Linked DNA regions of Oryzias latipes. Each later gene encodes a partner of the first gene's protein in a complex. Links are inferred from orthologs where the notes say so. Each region holds a gene or a part of one and is shown in the gene's direction. Other genes may lie near its edges.

Region 1 (3,825 bases):
CCATACTGATGATGAATAAAGAGAGTCGAGGGAAACCGGTCCTCCGTGTTCTCAGTCGGAGTGTTTTGGCAATCAGGGATTATGCCATTCAGTTTGTAAGGTGAGAGGTTTGAATTTTTGCTTTGTCTTTGCTTTTAGTATGGTTGGTGTGTGCGCGTGTGACTGGTGGGTAGGACATGGGGTTCCTGGAATAGTTGCAGTAGTATTGGAATTGTTTTATTTACCAAGTGTTTCTTAAATGTTAGAGTAAAATAAATCTATTTAAAGTGATGTCATCTGATGTCCATTAGTTATACTCTTGTTTTTTTACATTCAAGCAACAGTCCTGTAAATCTGAACCTTCATTCTGAAATATATTCCTATGACCACTAGAGGGCAGCGTCTCAATGAAAAAACGTCAGTTTTCTTAAGGAAATTCTTTCAGATGTGAAACATTTTTTACACCAGATCTTTACCACAATCAACTCAACAGCTCAATTGAAACCCTAAACTATTAGACACAGTTTGACTTCATTATTTTTATCTCCTAGAATGCATTTTTCCCTTCCTCCTTGGCAATGTTTTATTTTCCTTCTCTCACGCTTTCTTTCTAGGCCATTGACTGTATAAGAGAACTGGACTGAGTGACCCCCCCCCCCCTCCCCCTAGCATTCCAAACAGGAAGTACCTGCTGGCTTCAAGAAACCAAAATCCCATAGACTTCTATAGAGAAATAAACTGCTTTTACTCCGGTTATTCTAACTTTCTTGGTCTGATACTTTTTTTAAGCATATTTTTGGATTTTTTGTTTTCTGTTTTGCAAGTCTGAATGAGTATAAACTGACCAGTCAGATACTTCAATAAAAGTAAGTTGACAGATTCTCCCGCTTTCACGTGGTAGGGGTGTGGCCCTCCAACAAGTTCACTCCTGATTGGAGAGGGTGGTCACCATAGAACACGGACTCAGTCCGACTTGGATGTTGTCTGGTTCCAATGAGGTGGCATCCAAGAAATGGCAAATGAATTGACTTGGTTTGGTTGGAGCCAGAAGTAAACCATTTTCAATGAGTGACGTCACACTAGTTTCAGTCCAGTTCTCACATATAGTCAGTGTGCTAGCCTAATGCTCATCTGTTTATTTATACCCGTATCTATGCATCCATTCCCTCTATCTGTTTCTCCTGTTTTCATAGCTCTTTTGTATTTTCCATCCATCTTCTATATGCACCGTTCAGGGTCACAGGGATGCTGGAGCCTTTCCACATCTCCTGAAAGGTGCAGCTGGACTTCATCTTAGGCCATTTATTAGTCCATCACACACAGACAACAGACAATTTAGAGGCATCAACAAACCTATGAAGTGTGCTTTTGCAGCGCCACCAAAGTTAGCAGCGTGTGTGCGCTTCCTTTCTATTATTTCTACAGGATGTCTTTGACGTTTGAACTGTTGAATGTGATTCCAGTCATTTGGTGGAGGAGCAGAGGGAGCTGGCGAAACCTTTCCTGGAGATTCTGCTGCAGCACATCTGCTTCCAGGTCAGTCATGAAGACGTTGGATCAGCTGAGCTGGCAACAGCTCTTTTCACAGGATTCTGCTGTGTCGGCATGTAGATGGTGGAGAAAAGCGAGTACCGAAGCCACGGAGCCCAGGCTGTGGGAATGCTGACATCTCAGATGGAAAATGCAGATTACAGCCGCTTCATTAAATGGCTGTTTAATTTCTCCAGACAACCAAAGGTAAGTGTACAAATGGCTAAATATTATGACATATTTCTGCTCCATGCAGGAAAACTTTGGTCTCTAGCATTTCTGTATTTACAGCACTGTTTTATTATTTTAAATGAAGTTCAGGAAAGACTTCATGATGTAGTGTCCTGCTATTTCACATTGACAGTTGGAACTCAATAGTCATAATATGTTTTTGCAAAGGGGCCTTTTATTTTTACTAGATGGAAAACAGCTGATTTTTAAGGTGATCTTTGGGGGCTGACACTTAAAAAGAATTTAAACCTTTCCAGAAGATTTTAGGACTGACAGGAACTATTTCTGAGTGTTTCTTTAATCAAGTTGTTGTGAATCGGGAGCAGATGAAAAATATCATATTTGTGACGTACAAAATACGCTGAGTGGGTCACAGCTCCCAGCTCCTCTCTATTCTGATGCATCCCCTGGTGAATTGATGTAAACAGAGAGCTCTCAGCAATGGGGAGGGGAAGGGGTGTACAGTTTCTCCATGCCATTGGTCCCACCCAAAACTCGGAGGTGAATTTCTTGTGAACTACTGCTGCACTGCAGTAACTGTCCTAGAAAACACAGGTTTTTTTTTATTTGTGCTAAAAACGGCATAATCAGAATTCAAAGCCCACTGGGAATGATCTTCAGAAGATGATGGAGTGAGACTTTTCTTAGTCTGGTCTCATCACCAGCTGCCGCTAGAACCTCAGTGCTGACTTGTTGCCCTGCTGTCGGCAGATGGTCCATCGACTGTTCTCCGTGGACGTGGTCATGGCTTTGCTGGAGCAGACAGAGAGGCGGCTGGAGGAATCTCAGGATCCGGAGCTTGCCATCTTTCTGCCACAGAGGTTTTTGATCCAGGATCTGCTGTTTGCTCGAAGGATGGATGATTCTCCCACCGTCCAAGGCCACGCCCTTTCTTGCCTGGCTCAGTGTTTGGAGCTGCCCTCCCTCAATGTCACCAGGGCCGTCCACAACCTCTTCTCTGGCAGTAAGAGCATACTTACAAGCTTATAACCATGGGCATAAACTAGAATAACATCATTTGATGCTTTCAATACAAAAATAATTTAACAGTGACTCATCCTCGTAGAATTAAATCTAGATAAAAATGTTCAAATAAATGGAGGCAAAGTATTGAGTATGAATATAATAAATATTTTTTCATGAATTTTATTGAACTGTTCCCTGAAACTGACGTAAGACAATAAAATTAGGGGTGTGTATTGGCGATACGATACGTAACCCGATGTTGAACAGGGAAAAACCCCCCACCAGATAGCTTTATACGATACTGGCAGCAACGTGGCAGTGAGTTTCGTGACAAGACGAGCCCTGTGCTTTTATTTTGACACGCTTAACAGTTGACATCGCACAGGTCTCATCATCCTCTCCCTTTCCCACACTCTCATGGCGCAAAAAACAAGTACTGTCAATTAAATATAGCTTTCTTTTTTAAAAGTGGAAGGCTCCTCTTCCGTCTCCTGGCTGGGCCTTTTCCCCTCGGCAAAGAAACTTTCCAGAGACGTTTGTTTTTTTACTAATTTTACTAGCTGCTGGGTTTTATTTTACCAGTAACTTATACTTATCACGTGACCGAGAATAGCGCCTTGGAATGCGTCAAAAATGACATGGACTGATGTAACAGTAATGCAAGTTATTTATTCTTTCTGTGTGGCCCGGTACCAAATGACTCACGGACCGGTACTGGTCCGCGGCCCGGGGGTTGGGGACCACTGTTGTAGAGGGCAAATAAACTATTATAATAAACTTTAATAATAATAAACTTTATTTGTACAGTTCCTTTCAAAATAAAAATCACATAGTGCTTCACAGTAAAACACGGTTATTACGATATATTGGCGAAACTATTTTTTCCAACACCCCTAAATAAAATGATTTATTGAAGGATATTTAAACATTTGGAGTTTGTTTAGTATTCATCAACACTACAAAATCTTATACCTAATGCTATTCAACCTGTAAGGCAGACTTGGGCGCCTTTTCAATGCTTTTTTTCATGTGGTTTTCCATATGTTTGTGGTTTGTTGTACAGAGTACTTGGACAAACTTAAATAACATTATCATTGTTTTGTTGTCTTCATCCATTGA
Region 2 (3,072 bases), on another chromosome or scaffold:
TGGCAGTCTGGGTAGCAGACAGGGTGCTGCCCTTTCTGACTAAACAAACCGGCAGCAACCAGGAGGAATCAGACAAGTCACAGTTGCTGGCTGCTCAAATAATTGAGGTAACATCTGCTTTTCCTTAATTTTATACACAGCTGGACAATATTTAGAAGGGATTTTAGTGTTGATCTTTTCCAGATTAATGCAGAAAATGTAGCCTGTTTGCCAAGAATCAAGTGTTTTTATCTGTCAAGCGGAGAAAATGTCTCACAACGAGATATGAGGCTGTGTTTGTGTCACTCAGGGGTGTGGTCTTAGCTCGCATAAGCAAATGTGTCATGTGTGCGTACGAGCAGCCATGTCTTTCCCCTCAGAATCACACCAGCGGGAGGCCTATCGCTTTAATAAACGCCTGTTCGCTTTCCGTCTACGACAGTCGGAGGCTTTTGCAATCCGTGCAGCTCCAGTTTTTTTTTTCTCCTTTTCATAAAGAAAGAGTGAAATGCGGATAAACGCCGGCGCATTTTAGCAAGGTTATTTATGCAGATTATTGTCAAACCCTGTGATGTGATTTCCCAGCAGGCAGATTCAATCAAATGCTTTTGTTCCTACAACTTCTGGCTTCTTCCTTTCAGAGCAGCACATTTCCCCTGCAGATAAAAACAGTTTTTAGTACAGAATTTTGTCTTTTTAACCTCCTCCTTCCACATCTTGCAGTTCTGCTGAGTGAATTTTGTCTCGTTCTGCTTCTGTCCCCACTCACCATGTACAAAACTCTCCGTTTTATTTCTTATTCTTTGCCATTTCTTAGTTCACTGTTTCTCCAGTCTGACTGATATCAAAAGTGTTTCTAACGTCTAACATTTGTACATTTTTTCCAGAGCTTCTTAACCGTGTGTTGTGATGTTATTCTTGTGGATTTGGGCGATGAGAAGTTCTACAGTGAAATCCTCCACCTGTGCTCAGTCCTCCTCCTCTCAGGTGAGGGTTTTAAAAGTGCCTGTTCGGGGTCAGAACTCTTCCATATAATCTGGTGAACCGTTGTGCTTTGATGAAAATGGGAAAAAAGAAAAACCTCTTTCCACGCGTGCAGAGGGAGGCTATCGATGCATCCCTGCTGTGCTGCTGATTCTAAAGGAGGTGGCAAACAGTAAAGTACCCGAGGACAACAACCAGAATCAGGAGAGCAAGGAGGATCCAACTGCTGTCATTCTGGGGGTGGTGGCCAATATTTTCCAGAAGATAATCGAGGTTTTGGCAAAGAGGCTTCGAAAGGATCCAGAGGGGGGAAAACAGGCATGTTGTCCTCTTTACTCTCTTTTGTGAAGGCGTTACATTTCTTTGAGGTTGCTGTTCTTCGTGTCTCCTGGTTCAGCTGTGTCTGTCAGTCGTCGCGGGTATGAGAGACTTCCTCCAAGTGGCACAAACCTGGGACAGAGAACCTCTCAGTGGAGTCCTCTCTACCATTTTTGCCATCATCATTGTGGAGAAGAGACGTGTTCTCCAAAAGGTTTGAGATGACTCGGCTAAAATAAAAAAGTGTAATTGAAGTTAATGAGAGAAATGCCTCTTCTAAGCTTTTAGTATTTGGATTTTTATCAGATTGCTCATCCAGAGGAAGTGATCGCCCCACAGTCAGTAGATGAGATGCCTCCTTTGTCCAGCACATTGCTGTCGGTCATTCTGAAGTCACCACAGATTACAAAGTATGGCCTTAAAAGTATTTTAAAACATTCATGAAAAACATGTCATAGATGCTGAAATGCTTTCTTTCTTCTCTTAGGTCATTTCTGACAGAGGTGGGCTCATCTTTGGACTCTGAAGCCATAAGCAGCCTCTCTGAGCTGGCTGCCGTTCTGCGTGTTTTAGCAGTTATCAAGGGGGGTGGGTTGAGTCACCAGAATATTTATTTTAAAATCAAGCTCATGTTAAAGAAAATCTATATAAATATATGTATAAATGTTGTGTTTGTCCATCTTTAGCCAAAGGTTCTGAAGCTGGGCTGAAGAGTGCAGCGGTATCCATCCAGCAGCAGATCCACAAATACGCCATCTCTGATGAAGACGATGGAGAAATCCAGAGGTGAGAAACAGGAAAAAAGCATCTTTTTCGTACTGGTAATTCTTCATTTGACTAATTTCACTCCCTTTGTTGCTTCAGGGCCATCTATGAATCTTCAGTGAAGACTTTGAATGAGATCCTGCATTTATAACATCAATTTGTTGCCATGGTGAACAGGAAGCTATTTCCTCATTTTTCATATTTGTGTCGTAATTAGAAGCAAAGAAATCACAATATTGGATGAACTTGACGGAAAACAAGCATATAATGTTCCAGTTTCTCTAAATGGATTTTTAAATATATACTAAAGCTTTTGTATTTCCTTCTTTTCTCTGTTTACTTCCCTCCTCACAGTGCGCATGTCTTATTTTGTCAAAGCAAAAAGCTTTGACAATGTTTAAAAACATGGTGACTTAAATGAACAGAATTGTTGTCTGTTTTTTTCCACGATCCTAATTTACATGTTTTCTTGTAAATCAAAACATCACTGCATGTTTTTATATCTAGTTTTTAATCATTACAAACTATAAATCAATATAAGTAAGATGTGTCTGTTGGGTAACTATCACAGCTTTCACCCCTATAGAGGAATATTTTTTATCTCATTATGCAAAAATGCTTATATGAACTACATGATTCAAATTTTATAGATTATTTAGGTTTGTTTGAGTGTTTTGGAGGTCAAAGCTTAGAAATATGTTCTAAATTATATTTTATTTTCCATAAATGGTGTATTCAATTTTCAGGTGCTGATAGTGCACATCTCTGTTCAGTAAATAAAGCAAACTCACAACACCATTGTCATGCCTGTAACAAGTATAGTAATCAGGTGTTTTTTTTTAGGTTTCTTTTGGCGTGGTGCGTTCACGCCTCCCGGTAAAAACCATTCAGAGCGCTCTCCTCATCTCATGTGTCTGTTTGACGTCAGTAACCTGGGCGGGGCTCCTCTGTGAGGCTGGTTGCTGTTTGTGGTGCTGAAACAACGTCGGTGTTGTTACCCCTCAACATACCTTTAAAAAAATGCCA

The links.
Region 2: the proteins of ncapd3 (region 1) and ncapg2 are in contact, whole or in part, in a cryo-EM structure (PDB 9F5W), measured with the Homo sapiens proteins. The link is inferred for Oryzias latipes from reciprocal best matches to the Homo sapiens genes NCAPD3 and NCAPG2. Residues at the interface, in NP_056076.1 of Homo sapiens: Glu1213, Lys1216, Ile1217, Pro1218, Leu1220, Gln1247, Ser1250, Glu1251, Tyr1254, Lys1258; in NP_001268861.1 of Homo sapiens: Phe291, Lys332, Pro333, Ile334, Trp336, Lys340, Ala341, Arg342, Arg347.

Annotation. Positions count from the first base shown.
Region 1 is NC_019873.2:3,921,814-3,925,638, forward strand, and holds part of ncapd3 (condensin-2 complex subunit D3), read left to right. Parts: coding exon 1-100; intron 101-1,442; coding exon 1,443-1,515; intron 1,516-1,590; coding exon 1,591-1,716; intron 1,717-2,451; coding exon 2,452-2,704; intron 2,705-3,825.
Region 2 is NC_019878.2:19,845,970-19,849,041, reverse strand, and holds the end of ncapg2 (condensin-2 complex subunit G2), read left to right. Parts: coding exon 1-107; intron 108-866; coding exon 867-966; intron 967-1,078; coding exon 1,079-1,281; intron 1,282-1,360; coding exon 1,361-1,495; intron 1,496-1,587; coding exon 1,588-1,691; intron 1,692-1,768; coding exon 1,769-1,869; intron 1,870-1,967; coding exon 1,968-2,067; intron 2,068-2,145; coding exon 2,146-2,197; 3' UTR 2,198-2,465; downstream 2,466-3,072. UniProt on the Homo sapiens protein: Regulatory subunit of the condensin-2 complex, a complex which establishes mitotic chromosome architecture and is involved in physical rigidity of the chromatid axis.